2 linked regions of the Drosophila melanogaster genome follow. The protein of the gene in region 2 interacts with the protein of the main gene of each other region in a pairwise test. Each region holds a gene or a part of one and is shown on either strand. Other genes may lie near its edges.

Region 1 (6,899 bases), on a different chromosome or scaffold from region 2:
ATGACACCGGCAACTCGAGCTTCTCAGGTTCTTTTGTGTCGCAGCGGACATATAGTTAGAATCGAAATGGCAGGTCCTACCCTCAACTGCAAGTCATACAGACCTTTCAGCTCAGCTATCGTTTCTGAGGCCGCCGGTCTTTTACTCAATATGGTGTTAATAACGTAGCGCACAACTTATCAGTAGAAGACAGAAAGGGAGCAGGAAAGAATCCTTAAGTTGCCTTTACCGTGCCCTTGTCCTGATTCCAAGCCGATATGCGCCGGGGCCACCGGATGTCCAATTAGTTGTCTGCCAGCTTCCGGCTCTGGCTGTCTTCCTGCTCTTGGTACCTTTTACCACCCGCCGGCTATCTTCGTTCTCCTCCTGTCAAATTCAGCAGCATCGATTACCAGTCAGAAGCGCTGTTCATCTTCATTGTTGTCCGTGGAGCGCTGATGGCATAATTTTCGGATTGGGTTGCCACTCAATTGCGAGCAATTTGCATAGATTTATGCTCATATACACATGAACATAAATATGTACATATGCATGCGCCCTATCCGGCTATCTAATCAATGCCCATTTGTGGCTTAAAATCCTTTTTTGATTTTTAAACTGTTCTCAAAAGGTGAATAATAAATAGGTAAGCTTAAAATAAGGTGCGTTGAGAACACGTAAGAAAAAAAAAAACGAAAATGGTATCAAATCATTTTTTTACTCGGTAACTCAAATCTTAAAATTTAATTTATTACAAGACATACTGATCTGATGACCCAATAATAAAAACATATACGATTTTTAGCGAAGTGAAAAGAAAGCTAAACTATATTTTAGGCAGTGAAAATGTAATTTTTATGAAACTGACGGATTCCTTCTTTTCATCCTTCTGTGCGACAGGAAGCCAAACAAAAGCAACATGTGTTACTTGTATGCCATGCCAGGCGTCAAAGGGCGAGAGGTTGAAAAAATCTATTAGAACGTGTCTCGCCTGCCAACGTGCTACTTTTCTGCCGTTCCCTTTATATTTTACCCGTGGGCATAATAAGCTGCGTTTTTTCGTGTGCGTGTGGGCGGGCGAGGCAGATATTTACTTATGATTGAGTTGCGTGGCAAAACCAACGAAGAGCGAAAAAAGGCAATGGCAGCCCTCGAAACAATTTGGTAAAGAGATTGTGGTTGCTTTTCTGATATTCTCACGCATTATCTGTACGTTTTTGCGCCCTTTTTCCCGGCCCTTCTTCATCGACTACGTCATGTGAGATGAAAATTTAAATTGATTTGCATTGTTTGAATGTCATTGTTGTTGCGTGGCGTTTTATTCCCTGCTTTAGCTACTTTGCATACTTTCTTTCTACCTTCGATAAAGACTTAGGCTTTTTCCAAAAGTCAAGATACAATTTTTAAAGATTTCAATTTTTGCCTTGCAATCGAACTACAAAATGCTATTGTGCTTATTTTACCCTACTTAGCTTATCTTTTTTGGTCCATGGAAATCCGACTCTGTTTAAGTCTAAAATGTATGGTTATTTATCAGTTTTCAATTTATCAGTTTTTAAACACTTTAATGGACGCAGCTCTAGGTACTAGGTACTAAAAGCTGCTATATGATATCCTAAAGGTTCTTACTGTTCTAAATACCTGGCGCATATCGGCTTTTCCATTTATTTTCCGCTTCTTTGGACTTACTCCGTTTGCTCCTTTTTGCTCACCTTTTGCTCATTCGAATGTTTCACTAAATATATATGTCAGAAGTAGAGCCATTGCACGTGCGTGGTAGGGTTTAGGGTAACTGTAATGTGTGTGTGCTACTGAGCCTTTATTTTTTTTGGGGCTATTGATTGGAAATTGAATTTATTGTTTGACATTGAAAGTATCGTCGGGTCAATTACGGTGGAAAAATGGTATCAAAATATTTACGATCTGTTTATTGCATTGTTCTAACTTAATGCTTCAAGAGAACCCTTACATATCCTCCAACCAAAGATATCCAGAAGCAACCAAATAAAACATCTGATTGGTTCACCAATTGTATGCATTGATTAGGACAATTAGGGGAAGGAAAACTAAGGAGGCGTGAAATTTAGCTTCAATGGTTTTCCGGCATGGCATCATCACAAACTAAAAGAAAAATTATATAAAATTATCCTGCGAGTTTATGGATCCCTTACCCTTGTCCTTTTCCTCATTTTTACTGAGCTTACGGTTAAGATCAGCTAGCTCTAGAGAAGCGCTCTCGAAGCCCACTAAACCTTCCTGGCAAAAATAGCCGTTCCGAATCTGAGCCGGCAATAGCTTAAGGATCAGCTCCAGATTTTGGGGATGATCAGCCAGACGAGAATAGATCCTTACTACATGTTTAAGGACCCTAGGCTCCGGTTCCAGTGTGAGTTGGTGCACAACCCTGGCCAAAGTATGGATCAGATGCAGCTTTCGTGCCAGTCTTCGACTGGCAAACTTTAAGCCCACTTCATGTTCTAAGGTGCGGTACAAGACAAATGCACAGAGCACCTTACTCATTGTGGTACCAAACTCCAGCTGCCGCAGGGTAAGTGGAATTAATTCAGTGCCCAAAAAATAAGATACGATCTCCGGATGATCTGATTTCAGTAGACCGCAAATGACGCCCAAGACAGAGAGACGAACATGCTCAACGGCGCGAGTTTGAGAAGTCATTTTAAGCAATGGCATCAAATAGCACATGAATTGGCATCGTATGAGTTGAATACCAATGAAGGGATGTGATGCCATAGCCTGAATCAGCCCAATGGCAGTGCAAATCCGGTGCGACTGTTGGCCGGTTAATTCAATTTCTTGATAAATGGCCGGATATATTGACACAATCTCTTGTAGCAAGCCACTCACAGCTCCAAAGGAATGCCATAGCAAGAGTCCTAGGCTGTCAATGTGGGTGCGCCTTTCGAATAGCTCCAGCATCGCCCAGAGACGCGTTTCTTTGTTGCAAAGATTGGCGATCCAGCCGAAGACGCTATCTATATCGCCGCGCTGTTCACAATCCATGTTTGGGGCACTCATTTAAGTTCTGCTTGGTGAGGAGTAATTAATATTTTCGCCGTGGATGTGGAATATGTATTAAGTCAAGCTGATCGATTGTAGTTTTTGTATAAGTGATATTTTTTATGAGAAATGTTTAGTACTACATGCTTTTATACTTTGACTCATTTATCTAAGCAATTCTGGTTTGGTTTACGTAAAAATAAAACTATTCTTCAACCGAATAACGTGCAATTTGAAAAACGAATTCAATATTACTTTTAAAGGAAATTATAATAAGATGCGCCATATCATTTCGGCTGAACCTTAGCCTTATATCAACTGGGCGAATGTTTAGTTGTCGGATAAACACACTGATAAGTGTTAGATAATAAGAGCGAATTCATATAAACTCTTGGGAAGTTTTATTACCGCACGCCCCCATGAATTTAGCATAACAATGGGCAAGGACATACAAGAAGTCGAATGCAAATAAATTTGCAATAGTATGTGTTTGGAATCGCGACTCGTTCCACATGCAAATCGGAAACGGAAATGTGACTCGGTCCTCTGTATGTGCGGGCCTAAAAATGCATGCTCGTCGTGTTAATTAGAGTCAGCTTTATTATCAGACAAAAACTTGCTGACCTGACAATTTTGCTTTGCTAAATCGGGACAATAAAATTTAAAACAAGAGAGAATGCTATATTCGAGTTCACGGACTATCAGATACCCGTTAATCAGCTAATGTGAAGGCGAACCCGAAATTTCATAATGTTTTTGGGGTATCGATAGATATAAGGGAATAAAATGAGAAAACATTTAAAAATAGTTCAAAAGTGTTTATGTGTCCGGTTTTTACAAGACGAATTCAATTACATCACAAAAGTGTGGGCGGTCTTGTGCGGTTTGTGGACGTTAGAGTTGGCGGGGCAACATGTTTCAGCAAACTTTTGCTGCGTCTTTGTCTCTAGAATCTGTATTCTGAATCTCAACCTTCTCTTTTTTTTATATTTCCTGAGATCTCGACGTTCATACGGACATGGCCAGATCGACTCAGCTATTGATTCTGATCAAGGATATATGTATATACTTTATATAGTCGGAAACGCTTTTGTGCCCGTTACATACTTTTAAACGAATAAGTATACCCTTTTACTCTACGAGTAACGGGTATAAAGAGACTAAAGTTTATGTACATATGTATCTGACCGCGATAAACAGAAGTTGTCAAACCATACCGTTCGCCATCTGCGGCAGTTCCCAAACAAATATTTGCCTATGCCAGCGTAATGTATATTAATTAATTATGCATCATAAAATCAAAATATAACAATTGCGCGGTCAACACTTTTTCTTATCTTTACTCGACAATCACCGATCTCTTTGTTTGGCCGCAAATTATGGAATTAGTTTTCAGCCCAATTAGGCCTGTCGGTCTCAGTTCGGTATCCTGTATAAGTACCTCTTGTTCCTATTTGATTAAAACAGGCGTAGAGCTTCAGCTTGCTGATGCTACCTTCATGTGTTGTTTAGTGATGTTTTGTTCTCGTTTTAATTTTTTCGGTGTCTATTTCATTAATTGTGTTTTATTTTTTATAATTTTGCTTTTGGCAGTTAAACAAATTGCCCTTCTGAGTAGAACAAAGTAAAATGTTTTACTTCTGATTTTTCTGAGTAACATCCACGACAAGAAAAAACGAAATGGTTCGAAAAATTAATGCATTATGCATGCGGTTTTCAATCAATATACTGTTATCTTTTTGCTGAGGTTTCTCCCTCGAACTTTTTAATAATCCTCCCCTTAAGCTACTTGGGTCTGACAATGCGCACTCAAGCGAGAAAGCACATATGGGGCAAGGGTACCAAGCTCGCATCACCCTATTACTTAAGCTTCACTGACCCATAGGCCAAATCAAAGGCCTTTGGGTCATTCTTTTTGTGTTGCGAAAAGTTTAAAAATTAATAATTCAAAGCATTATGGATTAAGGTCCGACTGGACTTGCCTCCAGGACTTGTAGAAATACAATTTTATTTGATTTCCTAAGAATGGTACTTTAATTAAAGAGTTTACCCTTTAAATTAATATTCGGTATTCTTGTTGGAAACTTGTGTAAAACTTGTCTCGTGTGGGTTAACGTGTTGTGGGGTATAAGCGGGTCATATCAAGCTAATTATTAGTTTTTTTTTATTATTACTGCAGGACCCTGGCCGATGAGCCCAAAAACATTCCCCGCGAATTTATTAAAAGCTTTAATATATTTATGCATTCGAGGCACATCAATCTTCGGCAAGGTTGAATGAGAAGCTTCTTGTGCAAGTGGGTGTTTGTATGTATGTGTGATCCGCCGCCAGGCATTTTATTCTGTATAAATGTGTGTATGCTATTCGCGGGATGCTGTAACATACGCTGCCATGGTTTGTTGAATTTGAGTTTAATGACGTGTAAAAATGTTTTCACGGCTTTTGATTATATTTTACCTTAAGCGCCTCTAAAGTTTCCCTTTCCAAGTCATGAGCGGTATCCCTTCCGCTTGTCATTCGCAATGAATAATGTGAGCATCGTGTCTCTCCGCTTTGCATATGAATACCCTTTGGAATCTTTTCTGATTAGCGACAGAGACGTACAATAGGCGCAACTGTTCTTGTTGGGTGAAAGCGGAAGCATTTTAATGACAATATTATCTACCCTCTCGCTTTTATTAGCTTCCGCTGAACTGTCACTTCTAATTTTGAATACACATACCAGACGCGAAATGTTTTTTCGGCGAAGCTAATCTTTTAATAACAATTTTTTGTGCTTATGACTAAAAAACATGTGCGCTTACATCAACCTTGATTCACACAGCAAAACAGAGCATAAGACTTAATACGTATATTTGCAAAGCTTTCAAACAAAATATTTAACTTTTCGGGCTCACTTTGACGTTAACCGAGAATATACTGTCTTCCTTTACATAATCAACATTAAAATATTTAATATCAAATATTACTTCCTTTGGAACGTAAGCAAATAGTAATGGTTGCGCTAAGTTGTTCCATTGCTCAGTTGATTTGGGATATTATATTTAATGCAAGGCCAACATTAAGTATACAAGTTTCATGCTGAAAACAAACAATGCGATCTGTTGACAATTGTACTTAGGAACTGTACAGGTTTGGGCCTTACCCTGCCCTTTCCTTTTCTTGTTTCGATTTATTTAATGCTCAAGTAAACCTCTAAAAGAGTAAAGAGTCTAGCAACACAAAAAACAATGGCACAAAGTCATAGAAAACACATAATAAATTTTAAGTACGTACAGTTTTGACTTGTTGCATTACCGTGCCAGTTCCCACTTTGCTTGACTTTTTGTTGTTGTTTGTTTTATTTTAGCGAAATGATGTTTTGCAATTCTGCTACGGCAGGCACAGGTGCTTTTACTGACCAAAGTTAAACAATTGGTCCTAGTTACAAGTCACAACAATTGTGACACTTTTAGTTGTTTAACTCGCTGGTTCTGGTTTTCTTTTCATCTCTGTTGCTATGTTTACTTGGTGTAACACCTTCTTTAAAGTAATTTCACCCACTATTATAAAAGTATACTAGACTCGGTCAAAAATATTTAACAGGAAACAAAAACAATTTCCGACCCCATAAACTGTATATTCCTAATCTGGAACACTAAACGCTGAAATCTTAAATTCAAAAAAGCTAAGATTAGCCATGTAGATTAAAGAAACATAGACACAGTGCAAATTTGTAACAAAAGATACATTTTGACGTACTGAAAACATTTTGATCACCTCTACTGTAACGCCCGCAATAGGGAAATTAAAGCCAAAAATTTGGAAAACGTGCAGATTTTTTTGTTTCACTATTTTTCTGACCAGCTCTTATATCTATGCCAAAAAAATTTTAAATTTTCTGCCTGGCGCTCCTACTAGCA
Region 2 (8,723 bases):
GCGTGTGAAATTCTTGGCGAAATAGTGTGAAAATGAAGCTCAGCTGCACAATTGGTGGCCATATCAGACAACGAAGCCAGGTCAAGTTGCTGGGCTATAAATACGTGACCGAATAGGCCTCAATTGGCAAATCAAAATCGCAGACCATGAGAGTCAGGTGGAACCATTTCAAGTTATTGCTGTTTTGGCTAACGGTTTTAGCTGTCTTGGCCTTTGAAGCCGAGGCCAGGAAGCGTGTTAGGATTGGATTGCACAAGAATCCTGAACCAATTGAGGAGAACATAAAGAACGAATTGAAGACCCTTTCCATTAAACACAATTTAAATGTTGATGATACAAAAGCTAAAACGAAAACAGATACCAAGGTCCCAGGATCAAAAGTCGCAACGCTAGAAAATCTATACAACACGGAGTACTACACCACATTAGGATTCGGAAATCCGCCGCAGGATTTGAAAGTGCTGATCGACACTGGTTCGGCGAATCTCTGGGTGCTGTCATCCAAGTGTCCAGACTCGGTTGCACCCTGTGCCAATCGCATAAAGTACAACTCAAGTGCTTCCACAACCTACAGGGCTATCAATACCGCATTCAATATTGCATACGGTTCCAATTCAGAGGAAGGACCTATTGCACTCTCCGGCTTTCAGTCCCAGGACACAGTAAACTTCGCCGGATACTCCATTAAAAATCAGATCTTCGCCGAAATCACCAATGCACCAGAGACCGCATTTCTGAAGTCCCAGCTCGATGGAATTTTGGGATTGGGGTTCGCCAGCATAGCCATTAATAGTATTACCCCACCCTTCTACAACTTAATGGCCCAAGGTCTAGTAAACCGATCTGTGTTTTCGATCTACTTGAATAGAAATGGCACCAATGCCATTAACGGTGGGGAGCTGATCCTGGGAGGATCGGATTCGGGTCTGTACAGCGGGTGTTTGACCTATGTGCCAGTTTCCAGCGCAGGATACTGGCAGTTTACAATGACTAGTGCCAATCTGAATGGATTTCAGTTTTGTGAGAACTGCGAGGCCATACTCGATGTAGGCACTTCCCTAATTGTTGTGCCTGAGCAAGTCCTAGATACCATCAACCAAATATTGGGAGTTCTCAACCCGACGGCTTCGAATGGAGTCTTTTTAGTGGATTGCTCCTCGATCGGCGATCTTCCGGACATTGTCTTCACCGTTGCGCGCCGGAAGTTCCCCTTGAAGTCTAGCGACTACGTGCTCCGATATGGAAACACTTGTGTCTCGGGATTCACCAGCATGAACGGCAACTCCTTGTTGATTCTGGGCGAGATCTTCCTGGGCGCCTACTATACGACCTACGATATTGTCTACAAACTCATTGGACTGGCACCAGCAATTCATTAGGTCGTTCAAACTATATACTCAAACAAGTTCTTTAACAATTGTATTCTTTGCATTATTTACCCACTTTAATAAATAACCCCCCTTGGAAATACTAAAGCTACACCCATTGAATTTGCGTATCATTGAGCTTTCCCTATAAATCACATATTCGAGTGCCAGTCTCGAGCTTTAACCCACAATACGTGTGAATCGAAATAAACATGAACCAGATAAATCCCACATGGAAAAACTATAAATCGGGCGAAGTGACCAGGAACCCAACCAGTGAGGCACCATGAATATACGTGTGATTATCCTACTTTTCTGTCTGATTGTGTTTGTAGGCGGTAAGAAAGTACACAGATTTCGACTGGAGAGACGATCCCACCGTCACCACAAGATTCCTCACGCCCATCTGCACCTGCAGTTTCGGAATGCGCTGCGAAGGAAGTACGGATTTACTCCACTCCGTACGGTGAATGCTGTGAATGTGACCAGCGAGTCCGGTAAGGGAGTCGTGATAACCGAGCCCCTGATAAATTCCTACGATACCAACTTTTTCGGGGTTGTGTCGGTCGGAGATCAATCATTCACCATGCAATTCGACACGGGTTCCTCGGACTTTTGGGTGCCCAGTTCCCATTGCAGATTCTGCATCAAAACGTGCGGGAACAAGTTTTTCCGGAAGTCCAATTCCAAATCCTTTCGGTCAAGTGGAACTCCATTTAGCATCACCTACGGATCGGGCTCCGTGAAGGGAATCGTGGCCTCGGATAATGTTGGCTTCGGCGATCTAAAGATCCAGAACCAAGGCATTGGATTGGTCAACATATCGGACTCCTGCTCCGTTTTCGATGGAATCGCTGGCTTCGCCTTTCAGCAACTCTCTATGACCAAATCGGTCCCTTCTTTCCAGCAAATGATTGACCAACAGTTGGTGGAGCAGCCAATTTTCTCGTTTCATCTGAAAAGTGGGTCCAGTGATGGGGGCTCCATGATACTCGGTGGATCGAACTCGAGTCTGTACTACGGTCCGTTGACCTATACAAATGTGACCGAGGCCAAGTACTGGAGCTTCAAGCTGGACTTCATAGCGGTCCATGGCAAGGGTTCCAGGAGCTCCCGCACGGGGAACAAGGCCATCATGGACACGGGAACCTCCCTGATCGTTGGTCCTGTCCTGGAAGTCCTCTACATCAACAAGGACATCGGAGCCGAGCACAATAAAACCTATAACCTGTACACCGTCGCCTGTGAATCGATTCCCCAACTTCCGATCATCGTCTTTGGCATTGCTGGCAAGGAGTTCTTCGTGAAGCCACATACCTACGTCATCAGGTACGATAATTTTTGCTTCTCCGCCTTTATGGACATGCTAGGCCTGCAGTACTGGATACTCGGTGATGCCTTCATGCGGGAGAACTATGTGGAGTTCGATTGGGCTAGGAGAAGAATGGGCATAGCACCGGCTGTATGAGGGGATTATTCATTTTATTATGACTATCACACCTTGCGTGATAAGTGAATTTATTTAAAAAAATATTCGGACTATAATTTGGTAAACAAATATTACCAATTGTATAAATGGCAATGACAGAAAAAAATTCAATTACATTGTAAAAGTTGGACAAATAAATGTGAATTGTTAATGGGCGTTAATTCCGATCGATTGGACATTAGGAAATCTGACCTCTTAGCTATTTGGTGTTACTTGTGGGTTCCAACTTGATGTTCCTTTCCATTTTGTGCGGTTTGCTGACCACCGTTGCCCCCATAAATGCCACGTGGCATGCGAGGCTGTTGCTGCTGCTGCTGCTGCTGCTGATGCAGCTGTTGCAATTGTCGCAGCTGCACTTGTTGCTGAAACTCCAGATTCTTGTAGATCATGGCTGCAGCAGCAGCAGCATTGTTAGGAGCCTGAGGTTGTTGCGGGGCAGCCTGTTGCGAGTGTTGCTGGTTGTGCTGCGAAGCTTGACGCAGATTTCGAGCGATCAATTGCTGATACAGCAGAGCAAAGTCCTTGGGATTGGCGTTGGACAATGCAGCTAGATCCCCGACACTTGGACGGTGAAGCTGCTGCTGATACTGCTGTTGCTGCTGCTGCTGCTGCTGCTGTTGCGGTGGTGGCTGTGGTGCCACCTGCTGCTGCTTTTGTGGCATGTGGATATGATGGTGGCTGCGTGGCGCATTCAACTGCGGCTGTGGCGGCGCTTGGTGTCGCATCTGATGGTAAAACTGGGGAAATGGTATCTCATTGAAATTTTTAACCGAGTTGCGATTGTGGCTTTCGGTGCCAAGTTGACGATGTGGCTGCTGCTGTTGATGTTGCTGCTGTTGCTGTTGATGTTTCTGCTGTTGATGCTGATGATGTTGCTGCTGATGATGTTGCTGCTGATGATGTTGCTGCTGCTGATGTTGCTGCTGATGCTGAGGGATCTGTCTTTGTTGTTGCTGAAAGCCGCTCTGAAACACAAAATAAATGTATGGCAGTTAGCATAGGATATTTATAGTATGTGAGATAGATACGCAATTCTAAACTATTTTCAAAAAAAACCCGATAACCGTTTAATAGATTCGCGCCTGGTTGCTCATAGCTTACCCCCGGCAAGTTGGAGGCAGCGCCTTCATGTTCCGGAGTAGCTTGTCTTCTTTCATATAGAGGCACCGACTTGACGGATCGTTCGTATCCCGGGTGGGAACTCCAAGCTTGACTCACCATCGGTTTCAGGCCCGCAAGGCAGCTGGCCATGTCCTTGGGAAAGTCAAGGAAGCTCTCCCCGAACAGGGAGTAGTTTTCGGCGGCCTTGAAGTAGTTATGAGTGCCGTTCTCCGGGTAACCGATGGTATCTCCGTAGAGAACGCGCTCCACCTCGGTTACGTAAATGCTGGCACTGTCGACGGCCGCTGGCTTGCTGACACTTTCGCTGGCCGCTGGCTTGCTGGCAGATCCCATTTCACACCCCGTTCCTGATTCGCATCCACTTGGAAAATTGGGCACAGCTTCCTCAGACGCCTCCACGAGACCCAGGGAAATGTCGTTGGATGTTACGCCCCATATTTTCTTGGCCAGCTGACTGGATATGTTGACTGAGGAGGGGTAAATTGGTAGCATTATAAGCATCAATGAGACCCTGAAGTTCACTCGAAAGTTCTACCTTGAGTGGCGGCCGCAGTCTCATCTTCGTCTAGGTCATTAGATATAAGCTGGCTCTTGTTGCTGGCATTCTCGGACATCGTGCGGCTTCTAAAAACATAAACTATAAATTTGGAGGAACGAACAATATGCCTGACTTCAATAAAGTTGATCAACCGTCGCCTGCTGTGTACCGCAGCTCACTGAATAAAAACAATAGAAAAGCCTTGGTAATCGAGCAAAAGCCCAGTCAATATGCACCCAGTTTGTTTATGAAGACTGGCTTGGATTACGCAGTAAACAATTAATTAACTTACCCCGCACCACAACGAACGTCACCTACTGGCGAAGTGAAGCAAGAAGAAAAGAAATGTGACCGGTAAAAAAGATTCTGGCATAAGGATGATGGGCAGCACTGGACTATTTTGCAACACTGATTGGTTGGTCTTAATGTTATTAAAGAAAAGCCTTCAGATATGGCAGTTAAATATGATATGACCATAATAAGAGAGTTCATTTAAATATCTAACTCATAATCGGAATATTTAGGAAACTATGTAAATATCAAATCATGTTCATACGTGTGACCGCAATGTGACCGTTCATATGTGTGTAGCCGCCCAACAAAGAGCTTCTAGTAAATTTAAATAAGTGCTTGACGTAAAAGTGTCATCAGAATTAGTATAATATATCAAGGATAACTCGGTTTATTTCACTATTTGTAGTTCCAACTCGTGCTTTTTCATTTCATCAATAACAGTAGTATTTTTATTTAAAAGTTTTAACAAAGCCGTACACGAACATTTTACAATGGGTCATAAGCTAAACCAGAAGGACATCACATGGACTTAAAGTTAGATTACGGGCTCTGTGATCGCGTAACAAAATCCTGCTCCTGCGCCGCACAATTTCACTGGTGGCAGTTGTAAAAGAGTTGGGGTGCAACTGGAAAAGTAAATTAATGTAAATATGTACTTATTTTTGTGGACTAAGGTCGGTTCCTACACATTTTCGGTGCTGTTGTTGCCGCAGTTCCCATGCTCGTTCCATCCCCAGGTGTAGACCTCTCCTGCCGTAGTCCTCAGTAGACCGTGCTCGGCGCCCATGTGAATTCTGGCAGGACCCTGATCCTCAGGAAGCTTCAGGCGAAGTGGCGTGGGTATTGCCTGCTGTTCGCTGAACGAACCCATTCCCAGCTGACCGTAGCAATTGCGACCCCATACGAGGATCTCGTTGTTTTTGAGCACAGCTGCATTGTGGGTCCAACCCACGGCCAACTGACGCACATCCTCCTCAAACTGAAAGGCGTTGGACTGGCCAAACTTGTTGTCACCCAAGGTAAGGATTCTTTTGGTGCTGCCTCCACCCGTTTCGCTTAGATCCGCGCACTTGAGCACCATGTGGTTCTGACCACTCGAAATGGAAACTATCCGCAGTTCGTTGGGATTGTGGACCTGTATCTTCACCGTATTGCAGCGGTGCAGGCAGGTGGCCGTGATATCCAGCTCGATGGGCGGAGGGTCCATAATCCTCAATCGTCCGAAAACGTAGATTTTGTTGTCTTGCGTAAGGACGGCACAGTGGCGCAGGCCGAAGCTGATCCTCTGGGCGGGTTCTTCGCGTGGAAGCTTTACTGGCATTGGTCTTCTCACGGCAGTAAAGCCGCGCTGACAAATTCCCAGCTGCTGAAAGGCATTGGAGCCCCAGACAAACAGGCGTTTGGTCAACGTGATGGCTCCCGAAATGTCCCAGCCACAGCTAATGGTTTCCACAGGAACATCCTGTAATTTTATTGTTAGAGATTATGGGTTTCTAGGAGAAGCGATCATAGGCTTACTCACCCCGAAGTATTCCGTGGGGATCATCTTGAACTCGCTGTGGCACTCCTCCGTGGAATCCAGTCCCAGTTGACCACGATTGTTCCATCCGCAGGCATGAATCCGTCCGCTTGTGTCGAGGATGAGAACATGGCCACCACCTCCACGAATCAAGCGAACCTGGGCGGGGGCGAAGGAGCACTTGGCCACCCGTTGCGGTGTCATGCACAATTCGGACTCAAAGCCAAGGCCGAGCTGGCCGTGAGAATTGGCACCCTAAGACATGGCGAAAAAAGGGGCGAGAACCCAAGCCAAGGAAATCACTCATTAATTTGCAATGCAAATGCACCGTGGCGATGTCTCTGTTTCTTTCTTGTCATACCCTTGCAGAGAGTAATGTAGTTTCAGACGCAAGTTGATAAGCAATTATCGTTAGAATGGCTAAGAGATATAAAGATATTAGGCTTCTCAGATAGGCTTTTTATATAGTATAAGAAAAGTGGTAAAACAATGATTTCGAAGGTTTAACGAGGACTTGAATGATATGTTATAGGAAGTACTACGTAGTAGTTGGCCTTTAGGTAAGATATTGGTTTTGGATCTACAGGTGGCACAGAGATACGATTAATTCGAACCAACTCGTTCTCTGCAAGGGTATTTCAGTGGTCGGCTCCTTATCGAGAGTTCTACTGCGGCTCCTACCCAGGCGTAAACCTCCATTCTGGTGACCACCAGTTGCTCGTTTCGCGCCGAACTTCCGGTTGCTGTTCGTCGCCGCGATTTTCCGGGTGATTTAATGCACCGCAGTCACGCCAGGAATGCGCCTGCTGATCCGATGGTTTCGACTCCTCGATGGCCTCCAGTTGGCTCCGAAAGCGCTGCTCTGCCTTTGCCAGCACATGTAAAACTGAGGCTTGGTTCTGCTTTGGATTTACTTTTATATTTCGCGTTCTATTAGTTTCAGCGTCGCATGCTAAAATGTAAACAATGCAAATGAGGCAGCGTTGCCAGATCTTGGCGCACAGCTGTTTGGCTTACATGACTCTGCTAGATAACAGACACATGTGTACTTTTTTTACTTTCCCGCCAATATGACATTTAAATTAGGATAACTGCTTAATATTTGTGCTCAGCGCCTCTCAGCAATATGTAATTAATATTTAAATCATAGCACGGCTGACCTCCTAGGACCCAACTAATAACACTTTGCTTCCATTTAATGTCTCATTTGGTTATGGCCATAACGATTATATAATCCCGCCGGATGGGCGTGAAAATCGTGTCAAGCGCATATAAATATATTCTAATTAAAAGCAATGGAAGTTCAGGGCGAAGGTTAAAGTGCATGCAATTTTAATTAAGTTTTAATTGTCGTGCTGGGCCATGTAAGCCACAATAGTTAGCCACAATGTGAGTTGGCCTAAGAAAAATGCAGTCGAGAGTTAATGAAATACGAGAGAAACGAAGTGGAAATTGCCTAGGACTATTTGCATTCTAGTGGACTGGTATTATATCAATATATTAAAGAAATACGATGATATTAATCCAATATTATAACAAAAAATAGTTAAGTCACAGTGTCCTTACGCTTCAAAAGATCATGCATTATATAGCAATATTCGTAATCGCCAAGAAGCTCATTCGAAATCACCCACTCACAGGTGAGCTTGTTTTAATTACACCGAAATCACGGCGCTAGAAAATCGGAGCTACACAAATGGGCAACTGGCGCTAACAGCAGGACATTACAAAGCTGCAACGTTCGCCTGGCATGCTATGTGGCCAGGACCTCCTCGTCCTCCTGGAAAGTCAACCCCTCTCACGTGAAGAATGCACTGTGGTCCGCATTTGCAATTCAAAAATTGCCTGGCACACACAAAGGGTGAGCGCCCCTAAACGCTAGAAATGAAAACTGATGATTTTCACTTGATATCCGCAAACGAAGAAAAGCCATGCAAGAAAGACTGCTGCTCCACATGCAATCGAAGGTGCCCAAAGGTGATGGAAGTGGAAATCCGTTTGAATTGCAATAGCAGTCAATTAAACCACAGGGAATTAACATGTTCGCCGTCAAATTAGAATCGGAAAATCCAGAGGAAGATGGGTAAAAATAGACTACAAATTTAAATTGCAGGATATTCAAAAGTCGCCTTGGCAAACATCCATTTTTAGCGAGTCCAGTATGAACTGTTATCCATTTCTTGGCGCGAATATGACGGCTTATACGAGGACTTCCGCTGTACTGTGGTCAACTCGGAAATATATGACGGGAAATCCCCATAAAGCTATAAGCAATAAAATCAAATGATATATGAACTATTACGTAGAAGTTTATGAATTTGGCCGGATATAAAACGAGCTAAGTGAATAAATTAAAACACAATTTCCAAACAAGCACAATATTTGTAACATTAA

The links. Proteins that work in one complex are often made in the same cells at the same time.
Region 1: the proteins of CG18131 (region 2) and Pos interact in a two-hybrid assay, tested with the Drosophila melanogaster proteins (one large-scale study listed by BioGRID).

The regions. Positions count from the first base shown.
Region 1 is NT_033777.3:32,034,599-32,041,497, reverse strand, and holds Pos (poseidon), read right to left. Parts: upstream 3,169-6,899; 5' UTR 3,016-3,168; coding exon 2,151-3,015; intron 2,101-2,150; coding exon 2,069-2,100; 3' UTR 1,745-2,068; downstream 1-1,744.
Region 2 is NT_033779.5:1,495,601-1,504,323, forward strand, and holds CG18131 (uncharacterized protein), read right to left. Parts: upstream 5,009-8,723; 5' UTR 4,809-5,008; intron 4,687-4,808; exon of another isoform or gene 4,603-4,686; 5' UTR 4,593-4,602; coding exon 4,514-4,592; intron 4,446-4,513; coding exon 3,958-4,445; intron 3,822-3,957; coding exon 3,066-3,821; 3' UTR 2,855-3,065; downstream 1-2,854. Other genes in the region: CG31926 (uncharacterized protein), read left to right, coding at 147-1,379; CG31661 (uncharacterized protein), read left to right, coding at 1,654-2,835; CG7420 (uncharacterized protein), read right to left, coding at 5,314-5,436, 5,499-6,272, 6,333-6,584, 7,011-7,028.